2 linked regions of the Mus musculus genome follow. The protein of the gene in region 1 interacts with the protein of each later gene in a biochemical or structural test. Links are inferred from orthologs where the notes say so. Each region holds a gene or a part of one and is shown in the gene's direction. Other genes may lie near its edges.

Region 1 (7,144 bases):
GGGCGGCAGGCTGGGCAGCGATGAAGGACCGCAACGCGATGGGGGTGGGGGAGACCTCACCCTCCACCGCCAGCCCCAAAAGCCGTGTGCTCCGCCGGTGGCCGCGCGCCCCTGCGCGGCCCCTGTCTAACCGCAGCCGGCGCCGCTGAATGGAAGGGCCGGAACGCAGCCATTGGCTGGCAGCTGAGAAGCCGCGCGTTCATTGGGCAACGCGAGGGGGCCGGGCCGCCTTCAGGAATGTACTACGGCGTGTCCGGCACGTCTGTCCGCGGCGGTAGGGCGCGCACACTGCCCGGGGCCAGGGAAGGTTGTGCGCACTGTGATGAGGGCTGGGGCGTGCTGGCCTCGCGCGCGGACCCTGTTACCTGTGCGTCCGCATCACGAGCAGGCCGAAGACAGGAACGCGCGGGCGCGGACGCGCACTAACGCGGGTGCGCGCATGGGCCTCTCGGTCCAGGTCACGTGGTGGAGTAGGCTCCGCCTTCTCCCCCACTCCTCCCCCCCCTTTCCCTCCATCTGGGTTTCTTTCTTTCCTTTTCTTTCTTCTTTTTTTTTTTTTTTTTTTCTTCAATGAACACACACCGTGTGCATCTTAAAGCCACACTGCCCCATTTCACGGGTTCATTTGACTCCTCACTACTCCGGTTCCTTCTGCAGTTCAAGTCGGAAAAGAAAAATAATAGGACGTAGCAGAATCCCGTGTTTCTGGGTCTGGTGTCTACTGCGGGGAGGAGGAACTTCAAAACTTATTGGAGAATGGAATGTGCTTTCTTAAGTGTTATTTTTTTTTTTTCTTAAAGAGCGTAGTTGTGTAGACAGTTTAATTTGTTGCTGGCTCCAACATTCACTCCCCTCCCCACTACGCATTTTTCTTCTTCTTGTTGTTTGTTGTTGTGAATCCCCTGAATGTCTTGGTGACACTGGACACAATATCAGGACAAATCGTAGCGCTCTATGAACAATTTGTTTAAAATGAATTCCACATCAAAGCCTTTATTCTCTTCTACGTCACGCTATTAAATGTTACAGGGTGTGTATCGAGCTTTATTTTGTTTTAAAGTTTAAAACTGACTTTAAGAATGTGATTAATTAATGAGGATCCAGACGAATTCCAAATATCAGGAAATCTCTCATTTCCATTTCTCTGGCCTGCTGAAAAGATTTGCTTTTTATATATTAAAAATTCAAATAAAATAGCAGACTTGTCTGGAGTCTCCTTATAGACGTTTTCAAATTGGACTGTATTGTGTATTGGAGGGGGGCGATAGAGGAGTGAGAGGGGTTTTTAAAAGGGCTGGCTTTTCCCAACATCCTTGCTCGCCTCTTTAACTTTCCATTTTGTTTATCTTAATACGAGGCGTTGTTCCCTGCGAGAGTCTAAGTCTTGCCTTTGGTTATAAAAGAAAAGAGGAGAAAAAAAAATTGGCACACACTGGCGCACTATCCACCACCCTGTCATTATTGGTGCAGGCCTGGGAATTCAAGCCGGACCTCCCAGTATTTGCTGCAGCTTGAGGCCAAAGTGCCTCTAAAAGGGTTTTCTTTGAGGAATCTCAGAAATTGTTTAAGCGCTTAAAAAAATATATTACCTATCCCTCATGTCTATTGCGAGGCAAATGCTCCTGTACGTGTGAGTGTGTGCGTGTGTATGTGTGTCTGTGTGTGTGTGCGCGCGCGCTCGCAAAAGGCGTCTCGAAAAAGAAGACACTGTTGAAAAGAAAAGAAATAAGAAAGAAAGGAGGGGGGAGCATTCCTTAATGGAAGTATTGCATGCGAGAGGGTTGGCGCTGAGCGAGCGCCCCCCCACCCCCAAGCCTGGGATGCACACACGGGGGTTGCCTACCTGGGTGGTCTCTCTACTTTGGTGAGCTGTTGCTAAGCAGCTAATAATAGTCATGTTTGCTGAGTAATTTCTGCCCTCCAAGAGCCAATCGCGTTGCAGAAACCCAAGCCATCTGACAGCCCCGGGGGCGGGAGTTCCAGCCTTTTTCTCTTTCGCTCGCTCTTTCCCCCTCCACCCCCTCCCCTCCTCCTCCTCTTTCTCCAAATGGAGAGAGTTCTTTTTTTTCTTCTTCCATCTCATCTATTGAGTCAAGGAGCTGCTGCGGCCGCTGCCCGCTGCACACACACAGAGCGGAGTCCCCAGGTCCCGGTAGCGAAAGAAGCGCGCGGCGCGGGGGCAGAATGGTCCAGCGGGTCGGTGAGGAGAACAAGAAAGCAGAGTCCGGGACCGAGCAGCCACCGCGAACCCAGCAGCCAGAGAGCGACCAGCCGTTTCAGAAGCCGCCACCGCCAACTCCAGCCGCAGCCGCAGCAGCACCAGCAGCAGCAGCGGCAGCCCCGGCCCGGCATCGTTGAGACTCGCCGGGTACCGTCGCGTCGCCCGCAGCGGGCGCCGAGGGAGCCGGCGCGAGCGGCGGGGGTCTGCGCGCGCCTTCTGCCGTGAAGGGGTCGCGGCGCGGGGCGGGGACGTCTGGGGGGGACTTGGGGACCGCGAGGCGCGCCCTGGAAGCGCCGGCTCTCGCCTTCCCGCGAGCTGGATGTGGGCAGCGGCGGCCGCAAAGACCTCGGGACTCACGCGCAATGTGGCAATGGAAGGCGCAGGGTCTGAGTCCCCGGCAGCGGCCACGGCCGCAGCACCCGCAGCGCCCGCCGTGTGAGCGGCAGCAGCGGGTCTGTCACCCGGAGCCGGAGTCCCCGGCGGCCAGCAGCGTCCTCGCGAGCCGAGCGCCCAGGCGCGCCCGGAGCCCGCGGCGGCGGCGGCAACATGGCCTCGGCTGGTAACGCCGCCGGGGCCCTGGGCAGGCAGGCCGGCGGCGGGAGGCGCAGACGGACCGGGGGACCGCACCGCGCCGCGCCGGACCGGGACTATCTGCACCGGCCCAGCTACTGCGACGCCGCCTTCGCTCTGGAGCAGATTTCCAAGGTGCACTTCTGTCCCCTCCTCCCTCTTCACTTTTCCCTCTTCTTCCTCCTTGGGATCCCTGCCACACAGACACACACACACACTCCTGAGAAAGCAGCAGACAAGTGAAGGTTGAAAAATTCAAACCCTCCCTCCGGACTTTGGAGGAAAGGGCTGTCTGAGGTCCGCAGGGGGTGGAGGGGTGCCTGTGTGTGTGCGTGCGTGTGTGTGGTGTGTGCGCGCGCACACGCCCTCCCTGGTGTGCCTTTTCCGGAGCTTTGGAAACCGTCCTGAGTGGACCACCTCCAGGGCGGCCGCAATGCGGCACTGCCTTCGGCCCCAGCGCCTTTCTCCCGCGCCCCTGCCCACGGTTGCAGCCTAAAGTTCGGCGTTGCCACATTTCTTAACCTCTTTGAGGGGGAGGCGGAGTGGAGAGAGGCGGAGAGAGACAGAGGGGAGGGAGCCAAAGTAAAGGTGGTTTCCTTTTTTGGCAGCCGGTTCTGCTTTCGTTGAGCTTGAAATCTCTGCTCCCTTAAAAATTATTCTCGGGAGAGGACGTCCCCTCTCTTCCAGGTCTTGGGCCGCCTCTTCTCCCAGCCTGCCGGGGAGGGGGGCAGTTGTAAACAAGTTGCCACCTTAAATCTTCGGTACGGGTGTGCGGAACGGCCGGGTTCATTGTGTTTACGAGGCTGGCTGAAATGTGTGGAATCCGGGGAAGGCAAGCACCTAGCCTGGGGCCCGCAGGGGCCCTGGCCAGCACCCCGGGCTCCGCCGCCCGGAGAGCAGCCTGCGCCCAGCCAGGACCCCCGCCGGCGCCGGCCTGGGCCTCTTCCTTGTGCACTCGGCTATTTTAAAGAGTTCACCAGGAGGGAATGGGAGAGGGAGGAAAGATCCTTGTGGCCGCCCTCTTCCGAGCACAAATAGTGTAAGTTGTAGATGGCTGCCGCATTTCCTAACTGAGCTCCCGCGGTGTCTCCTAAGGCTGTGGAAAAGAGTGTGGACCGAACTCTGGCTGCGGGGCTCACCACGTGGACCTCGCGTACAGCCACACCGGGGCCAGATGGACCACGGTTGCTGTAGATTGTCCCTAAGTGCGCTTGCGCCCTTCACTCGGCCTCCGGGGCACTGGAGGAGGCCACAGGCTGGAGCAGGACTTAGGGAAGGGGGGACGTTTCCTGGGGGTTCTTTAGTGTTGGGCTTCTCGGCTAGGATCACTCAGGCCCTCCCTCCAGGTCCCCGGTACTAAACCATGGCTGCTGGTGGTGGCTTCTCAGTTAGCCTCTCTCCCCAGCACCCCAAGTCTCATTCAGGACTGGCGCTCAGGCCACGCGTGGGGGCGCCCCCTGGTCCCTAGAGTACAGTTCCCACGCTGCAGTCTCACTGATTTACAACCAAGGCCCCCACGCCCCCAGGGCTTCCTCTGGATGGTCCTGGTTCCAGTCCGAGGGAGAGGCATTGCGCCGCGGGCGCCCACGCCCCACACTGCTGTCCAGAGGGGATCCCCGGGCGGGTGTGCGGGGGACAGCGATTCCCCGGCGTTCACTCCTCCCTTCTGCTTCGTCCCCAGGGGAAGGCTACTGGCCGGAAAGCGCCGCTGTGGCTGAGAGCGAAGTTTCAGAGACTCTTATTTAAACTGGGTTGTTACATTCAAAAGAACTGCGGCAAGTTTTTGGTTGTGGGTCTCCTCATATTTGGGGCCTTCGCTGTGGGATTAAAGGCAGCTAATCTCGAGACCAACGTGGAGGAGCTGTGGGTGGAAGGTAAGCGATCAGGCGCCGCTAGCGCGTCCTTCGTCTTCCTTCCCTTTACTGTGTTTGATGAAGATATTTGCCAGCATGCACCTAGAGCCTCCTTGTAGCCAACGAGAAGCCCTTGCCCGCACCAGGGGCGACTGTTTATTGTTTGCATGGCTGGCCAGTAGCCAGGCCCGCCCGACAAAGGCCGCGCTGTAATCTACTCGGGGCGCTGCGCTTTGCTAGGTGTGGTGGGAGAGAGTGGCGGGGGCGCAGAGGCCCTGCGCGGGACGGACCACTCCGCAGAGCCGTGGGGGTGGTCCCCGAAGCTCGCCACAGCTGCCTGCCTGGCTTTGGCCCGGGAGCCGCGGCCCGGGAAAGGCCTCTCTGATCCGGGAGCCTGAGCTCGGCTTCTTTACCCCCACCCCCCACCCACCCACTGTGTCTGCGGTGAAAGGAGAGGGGGGTGGAGGGCAAGGCCACCCCTCTGGCTGCAGGGAGTGTGCGCGCCCCCGGGGCGCGCAGGGGGCGGGCGCCTCGCGGGCCTGCGGAGGCGGCCGCGTGTGTGGTCCTGTTTTTGGACTGCTTTCAACTCTGGGGGAAAAAAACATTTGTCTCAAGGTACCAAAGGGGGGTGGGGGGAGTTGAAAAAAATAGTAAAGCACAAACTGGAACGCATGTTTGCAAAGTAGATTAATGTTTTCTCGCGGGTGGGGGGGCTTTTTAAATGGAATTATTCTTGGGGGTGGTTGCATTTGTTAAGCTTGCAAGTGTGTGTGTATTTTAAAAGAAAGCAAGTTTGATGGGAGGGGCCACGGGAGCTTCCCTCGGTGTGTGTGTGTGTGTGTGTGTGTGTGTGTGTGTGTGTCTTTTATCCAAGTGCCTCGATTTGGAAGGGGAGGGGTTGGGGACCTGCTTTATAAAAGGACTTGTAAATTGAAAATAGGTTTTCCATTTTTCCCCACCCCACCACCGTGGAATCTTTTTGCTCTTTGTGATTTTAGGCTTTCTTTTTTCCTTCGTTCTTTGTTAGTGTCTCAGTTATCTCTTTGAAAAGTACCAACCCCTTGTTTGAAAACATTTTAGCTTCTGGCAAACACTGCTTTGAGCATCAGAGTAGTTGGGCAGATGTTTCAACCCCAAATATTTGGTACATGCCTACTGCAAGCCACCCAGGACAGAATTTTGAAACCAGGGTTAATGAGTAATTTCTTAGGTCACCAGTTTCAGGATGCTCTTGGAAACTAACCTTCCAGAATATTCTGTTACCTTAGCTTTCACTATTTTTGCAAAACTAGTGGTGGAGTATTTAGTTGGAAAGTAACAAAATAATAATCCTAATCTTTAAGAGCAGAGCACATTCCTGCCTTGAGTAGCTTGGTTAATGAATACAAGTGTCTTTTGGATTGATTCCATTAGGTAATTTACCCCACTTTGCTTCCTTGTCATTGGTAGTTCAGAGAATAGTTTTATTGAGCACTGACTATGTCCCTGGCAACAAATTTCCTTAGTATCTCTAGTGTTCCTGACCCTGTGCTAGGCACTGTGATGGAGACATTGCACAGTGCCCTGTGCTTCAGACTACAGGAATTCAATGCATTTTCACTGAGTATAGGCTCCCACTTGAACTGTTTCATGAAAGTTAAATTAGGAGAAAAAAAGGCCTTAGTAGATGTCTTGAGGTAGGCAGGGGTACTGGAGAGACAGGAAGCAAGAGAGTATTGGCGGGAACAGGCCACCCCCTGCAAGGTCCTGGAAAGTTAAGTTAACCAGCAGAACGTAAGGTCCTAGGCACAGAAACTGACCAGCAAGACTATAGAGCAGAAGTTAAGCTAATGGCTCCACAGTTGGCTTTTTCCAGGCTGATGAGCACCATGGCCTTGCAACAGTTTGGTTTTTAGTAGTTGGAGATGCTGTTTCCATAAGTTTTAACAAGCTTACAGAGGTAGTAGAGTTTTCTTAACATTGTTTCAAGAATGATGAAAGACTTAGGTAGAGCGACTCCACCTGTCTAAGTGGAAGATGTTCAGTAAGGAGGACACACCTGAGGCAGACACCCACCCCTACCCACTTCCCCCCTCCTGCTTTTGGTATCTTGATAGTTTGTTTGTTTTCTGCTAATACAGCTATGGAACCTAGGGCACCACCATGTTAGGCAAATCCTCCTTCTCTGAGCTACACCCCAACTCTGGCTAGGCTTAGAGGCCTTAGCTCCTTTCTGCATTGCCATTTTAGTATGGCTCATTGGTTCTTGGGCCTAACACTTTACCTTACAAGTCAATAAAATATCCGTGACTTTAATTTTAGGACATGATGGTATATGAATGTAATATTTCATATAATAGGTGTCTCTCTGTTCAAATGAGAATCATATGATAACTAGGAGTGTGGTCTGCAGGTCCCTTCATGTTCATTTTGCTTTCCATTGATTTAGGTCATTTAGTCTGACACTGCCTTGGCCTCATTCATTCATTCATTCATTCATTCAACTCTTGCCTTCGCAAGA
Region 2 (6,503 bases), on another chromosome or scaffold:
GGGCAGTTCTGACAAAAGGCAGGAGCTCCAGAGGCGCCCGTCTTGTCCCCACTGTATCGCGTAGCCTGACTGCGATCCCATCGTCCTCAATTGTGCCGGTCAGAGAATGTATTGATATTTCTTTAAGGATGCTCCTCATTTCTCCAGAGCCCGCGGTACCTTAGGGGAGGGACTTGGAACTTGCTGGCTTTGCAATCGCTTTAATTTTTAACCTGCTTGCATAAGAATTAAAAGCGAATAAATATTCGGCGACGAGGGTGGATGGACAGACGGCAAAGCAAAGCACGAGCCTCTCTTCCCATCCCACCTCCTTTGAGATTTCCAGGCTGCCAATCTCCCAGCCAAATCGAGACTTTCTGAAACTCCATGCACGTATGACTGGAGCTGGAAATGGGTTTCCTTGCAAATATAGGTCAGCATCCTTTTTACTGCCCTATTAAAATATTCAAGTCCTACCTTTAGGGCTAGGTGCGCCGAGCGGCTGGCGGAGCGGCGCTGGCGGGGCGCAAGTGCAGGGGGCGGGGGCTGGAGAAAACAAGAGTGGAACAGCCCGCGCGACGCGACGCGCATCTCGCCACCGGGTACCTGCTGTATGGGAAGCCTAGGAGACTAGCCTTAGGGTGGCGGGCCAGAACTGGAGCAAAGAGGAATCGTGGAGACTGAATACAGGGCTGTTCTCCCTCCATCTTCTCCCTCCATCTCCCTCATCTGCTCCCGACCACCTTAAATCTGGACCGCGAGTGTGGGCGCGCGCGCGCGGGGGAGCCGGAGAGCTGCGCGAGCTACAGTTAACTCTGCGCGGACCGCGGGGCGCCCGACTGGTGTGGCTTGAAGGAGCGAGTTCTCTCTCTGGCTCCGGGCACCCATCCCCTGGTTGGGTGCCCCGGGGGGGGGGGGGCGTCTCAGGATGAGGAGGTCCTTGGAAAGGTGTGAGGAGGTAAAAGATTACTGATGCAAAGAGGCCAGGCGTGGACACGTAGGGTACCTCAGCCCGGATGGGTCTGCAGGGGGGTCTTCGGCGGTCTGGCTCCGGTGCCCAGAGCGCCGGGCCTCTGCGTGTCGCAGAGCTGCAAGAGCGCTGAGCCACGGTAGACGCCTTTCAGCTCCACTTACTCCTGCGTTATCGATCCCGGGACTAGGGTTGCAGCGCGCTCGGGGGTTGGGGGTGGGGGCGAGCTCCGGCGGCTTGTCCCTGGCTCTGCACGCGCGGAGCGCGCCCCGCCAGAGCGCAGGGCTCCGAGCGCGCTCTCTCCCTAGGGCGCGCAGGCAGGGGTTGAGCCGCGAGGAGTCGCAAGGCAGGGAGCCCCGCGGGCCTGACCTGGACTGCAACCCCGCCGCCTTCGCGGCCCTTCGGCCTCAGCGCCCTAAACGGAGACCACCAGTTACGTCCTTTCCCTCACGCTGATCCTTCCAGCCCGGTACCCGGGGCTCAGCGGCCCTACACCGGATCACTCTCGCCTCCACCGCCGCCGCGTGCGCGCGCGCGCGCGCGCGCGCGAGCAGCATTTGAACTTCTGACCTTCTGTCAAGTTCCTTCAGACGAACGAAACGAAAACACATACTTTTTTCCCCTGGGCAGTAGCCTTTCTGATTCCCAACCCAAAAAGAGGGGGTAGAGACAGCAAAAGTGGGGGTGGGGAAGGCCAAGCCAAGGATCTTCTCACCCACCCTGCAAAAATCCACCAAAATAAGGGTGGCTGTAAAGGTGGCCGTCCAAAAATTTCCTCTTAGTACAACCCTCGGCGGCTTCTTATTCCGGCTTGGCAGAGTTAAGAGGGGATGGGAAGGAAGAAGGTGGCCAGACGACAAGACTAGAGGTAAAGGGTGAAGCGGGGTGGGGGAGGGGATAGGGGGGAGAACCTTGGGTCTCAGGAACCTGCCATTGGTCGTCCCCACCCTCCTTTAACAACCACCTGGTTCGGCCCAAGGTGCCACTCTCTTCAGTCTCTCCTGCCTCCCAGTCTGTTTCTCTAAGGTGACTGAGCCCAAGTCCCTCAACCATGGCAGGACCGTCCCCAGTGGAACTTTCTGAGCAGTTCTGGATCGCAGGAGCTCCTAGTTAATATTAACTCCGGAGAGGGAAGCGCAGACAGACACTCTTCCAGCACAGTCCAGGCCCCAGAGAGTGCCAGGCTGTTGTGCCCGCGGCCAAGGGGCTGGGGTGGGAGGCAGCGAGGGGCCTGATCTGCAGGCTCTGCAGGCTGAAGTGGGAGGGGGGAACACCTGAAGAGCCAGGTTGAATAATTTCCTACGTGCTTAGGGGTTAGTCAGGAAAAAGAGGCCAGGTGTGGGTTTGAAGAATAGTTTTCTGCTTTGAAGAGTTGGGTCTGTCCCCGCCCCCCAGTTAGGGGAAGAGTGGAGTGCATTTAGAGAACGGAGTCTCTTGAAGTGAGACACCACCTCCCTCACAATATGGGGAGCCCATCTTTGGATGTGACAGCCCCTGCTCTGAGCCCCTGGACTGCACTGGTGTAGATCCGGGAGGTGAGCTGGAGGCTTCAGGAACAACTTGGCCTCCGCAGACACAAAGCTGGGCCCCAGTGACCCTGCTGGGCTTCACGGTGGCTGCACAGAGTCGGGCTTGATTAGCGGCACACGACCCAATGAATTAATAACCGGGCTGAGCTTCAATTGCCTTGCCTGCGACATTCCCTCCCATCGCTGGCGGGGAGTACCCTGAATCTGCCTGCTGAGCTGCGCTGGGCCTGGTGCCGGGGAAGACTCTGGGGCACCAGGTACCAATTCGGTAACCATCAGAGTTGGCCTCTCCGCGCCTAAAGCCTGTCTCGGCCCAGAGCTCCTTGTCTGGGGTCCCCCGTGTCTGCTTTAGTGGCGCCGCTCAGGGTACTGGGCTCCAAAACCCTATCCATCCTACCCTCGCTCTTCCCTACTGCCGGATGGGAAGCTTGTTAAAGCCACATCGCAAGCTTTTCCCTCACCCCATTGAAAGAAGGGAGCGAGGTGAAGTGCAGGCTGGAATGAAGAAGGAGATAAGCAGAATGTACCACGGTGTGCGCCTGCGCGCAGCGGCTCTGATTCTCTATTCTAAACTGACCCTGGTTCAGTGACTGATTTTCATGTAAAACAGATTCAGTCCCCCAGATTGAACTCCAACTCGGTCCTTCGGACTTTCCTCTTCAGGAAAACCGCTGGCAGCCCAGAAACCTGCCAGAGCGGACCTGTTGTTACTGCATCCCTTCCATCTGTTGTGCTTTGAACTCTACAGCCCTGTTCTTGGGCCTTTTTGTTGCCGGAAAGACTTTTCCTGACACACACACATTTCTCTGTCCATGAAGGACTGAGCTGGCTACATCTAGAGCCCGGTCATCTAGGGGCTATTATCCCATCCCTGTAACCTGAGGGATCACGGGTTATCAGTCCTACCCTCTGCAGAAATTACTCCTGCCTCTACAGAGGTCCAGTTCTCTGGGTAATGTGCTCTTACCATGTTGTCTCCGCTCACAACCCCCAATCCAGCATGCCACCAGCCGCAGCATAACCTTGCAAGCACTGAGCTAGCCATCCACCACACACACTTGCCTCCTCTCTTTAGGACATCCGTTTCTTAATGTGGCCCCAGAGTAGTGCCTCCACTATCCCAAGTTCCACTGTGTCCTGCAAGGGAGGAGGCAGAGTCACCAGACCCTCTCTTGGGCAGGGCTCAGAAGCTGTGGGCTTTTCTGGCTCCCCATCCCCCTACCTTTCCCACCCCACCCCCATCCACTTGTTAAGTTTGCTCTTCAAACTTGCCGGACACCATTCTATGCAGGGCCAAGAAAACAAGAGGGGAGGAAGAGAACTAGTCAAAGAAAATAGGAACACAATCAGGCCCCAGACAAGCCTGGCAGAGAGGAGCTCCTTGGGGGAAAGAATGTGGCTGCCTAGACCAAGAATGTTTGTCCTCTGCCCTGCCTGTGCTGGACACCAGCATTAACCTGCTTGCTTGTCCTTGACCCACTGCCTACCCCTCAGAGTTGCTATGGGTTTCCTCAGGCCCAGCAGGTATAAGGGAGGCCTGACCTCCAAGATAACACTCCTGCTGCACTCTAACCCTCAGAGTGTGCCAGAAGTCCTGTCTCACCAAAGCGCACCTGGAATCTCATCTAAGGAGAAACCCCTCTTGTTTCTCAGGCCATTATAGCTACATCTAAGTTTCTGAGTTGGAGACAGGTGGTCAGTTGGTTCCCTGGAGAACCTGCCTCTCCAGCAGCCGCCATGCCCCACCCCCATGTTCTCATTCACTCAACCCCTGGGTCCTGGGCCTGTGGTTGGTGGAGAGACCACCAAGGACCATGTCTGACACTTAGGGTTCCCCCTTCTCCCCACAGAGGTGCAAAGACAAGTTAAATGCCTTGGCCATCTCTGTGATGAACCAGTGGCCTGGAGTGAAGCTGCGAGTGACCGAGGGCTGGGATGAGGACGGCCATCATTCAGAGGAGTCTCTACACTATGAGGGTCGAGCAGTGGACATCACCACGTCCGACCGGGACCGCAGCAAGTACGGCATGCTGGCTCGCCTGGCTGTGGAAGCAGGTTTCGACTGGGTCTACTATGAATCCAAAGCTCACATCCACTGTTCTGTGAAAGCAGGTAAGTGAGCCTTCTCCTCCTGGCCTTTCTCCATCATCCTCCCCCTCCAGCCTCTCCCACCAGAAGGTCTGGAGGAAAAACAGAGAGGAAGGAAGAGCCATAAAAAAGGGAGGAATGCTCTTGAAAATAAGTAGATCTCGGTGGTGGGGACATAGCTCATGACCCCTCCCCCAACCAGGTACTTCTGCAACCTTTCAGGCTACTGGCCAGCAACTCTGCATGGTCAAATTCCCAGACTGGTTTGTTTCCAGAGCCCCCTGCTTCAGGTAGTAGAGACAGAGGATGTCAGAGAGCATTGTGGAATGGGGGGAAGGAGGGGGCTTCCTGGTGATTACAGATATCAGCCAGAGCTTGCCTTGATCTCTTCTCTCATTTAGGGCTTAAGAACCTCCTGCCGCCCCTCCCCCCAACCCCATGAGCAGAAGGGTCTGTCCAGGGCATAAACCCGGGTACTGGCTCCTCCCTGCTGGGCGCCTGTGGATTCTAAACTAACTTAACTCACTCGCTAAGCGTGTGTTGGGAAAGGCCTGGTGGGAGGTAATGAACTCTTTACTTCCAACGTCGGGAGACCGCAAGCCTAGAAGCATCCGTTCTTATTAGGAGCCCAGCTGGGATTCAGAAAGTCCCTGGCAGGATTGCTGAAGGCGATCCCGCTGGAGCGGCTGCCCCCCAGCCAGCGCTAGGCGGAGTTCCCTGGGCCTGCAATGCCACGCGCTGTTGGGGGGTGGGGGGGGGGAGGTGGAACAGCTAGAGAGGCAGACAGCCAGCCAGCGCACGTGCAGTGGCCTCTATGAATTGTGTTGCCTGACAAGGCAGCTCACGGTGACTTTCCATAGACTTCTGTCCTCCCCGAGGCCCCCCACCCCAGCTTCTCAAGTTTCCTAAACTGTATATTAGCGACACAATTTAGTTGGAAATAATTTCAACGTCGAGAAATACTGAGTAGGTGATACTGGCTCTTGCAACAATAGCTGCCAATGATGCACAGGAGCGGTGGTGGCCTGTAGAAGAGGTCAGCTTCAGGAGTTCCACCTCACCAGGCTCCTTGCAGGACCCTGGTTCGGGAGCTCCTATTAGGCTGGGATGGGAAATACAGTTGGCGGGCCCAGGCCCTAAGTAAGCTCTTCCCTGGACCTTAAGTCTGCGCTGAACACGCAAGACTTCCCTGCCATCCCTGTTCTCGGAGTCCCTCTGGTAGGAATTCCTAGGGGATATCCTCCCAAATGAGCAGCGGTAATCCAGCCCGGAGGGTCTCGAAGGCAGTGCAGACCCCGGCCGGGGAGGGCAGCTCATTGGCATTCTACACACGCGGGCTGGGGCGCCGCGCCTTGTGTGTCAAGCGGGGTCGTGCGACTCGACGACTCCGGCTCGCCAGAGCCCCGGGTCGCATTCCGGGGGGCTACGGAGTGCTTCCAACGGCCAGCCCCACACTTCATGCCGGGGAAAACGATGAGAAGATTAAAAGCCTTCTGTAATTCCAGCAGAAAGATTCTTTCTGGCAATCTCTATTTGCCAAAAGCATGATCCTGGAGATTGGAATGCAAAGAAGACTAGGACCTCCCCACCCCTCCTCCCTGGCCCCCTGCGCTCCGCCCCATCCTCAATTATTGTCCTCCCGGACAGTGAGCCTTGGAGAGCTACGGAGGGCTGAGTAAAGCGGGTAGTCAAGGGGCCTTGAGAACCCGCGCTTCCAGCGCTCAGAGCAGGCCTGGCCATTTAAAATTCAAATACACATCTCGAGTGCTTGGAAAAGAGGCCGGGCTGTGCAAATAGTGCCTTGTGAGTGAACTGCACGAGGGGGAGGGGTTTGCACCTGAGCAAATAGGGAGGGGGCGGCCAGCGAGCTGTAGAGTGAGCTGAGAATGGGGAGAGGGGGTTGGAAGTATCCCCTCTTCCGAGGCTGTCTCCTATTT

What was found.
Region 2: the proteins of Ptch1 (region 1) and Shh are reported together in a solved structure, tested with the Homo sapiens proteins (5 studies listed by BioGRID and IntAct, with this or other methods). The link is inferred for Mus musculus from reciprocal best matches to the Homo sapiens genes PTCH1 and SHH.

Annotation. Positions count from the first base shown.
Region 1 is NC_000079.6:63,561,144-63,568,287, reverse strand, and holds the start of Ptch1 (protein patched homolog 1), read left to right. Parts: upstream 1-2,552; 5' UTR 2,553-2,767; coding exon 2,768-2,926; intron 2,927-4,472; coding exon 4,473-4,665; intron 4,666-7,144.
Region 2 is NC_000071.6:28,459,409-28,465,911, reverse strand, and holds part of Shh (sonic hedgehog protein precursor), read left to right. Parts: intron 1-388; exon of another isoform or gene 389-412; intron 413-763; exon of another isoform or gene 764-907; coding exon of another isoform or gene 908-937; intron 938-4,328; coding exon 4,329-4,590; intron 4,591-6,503.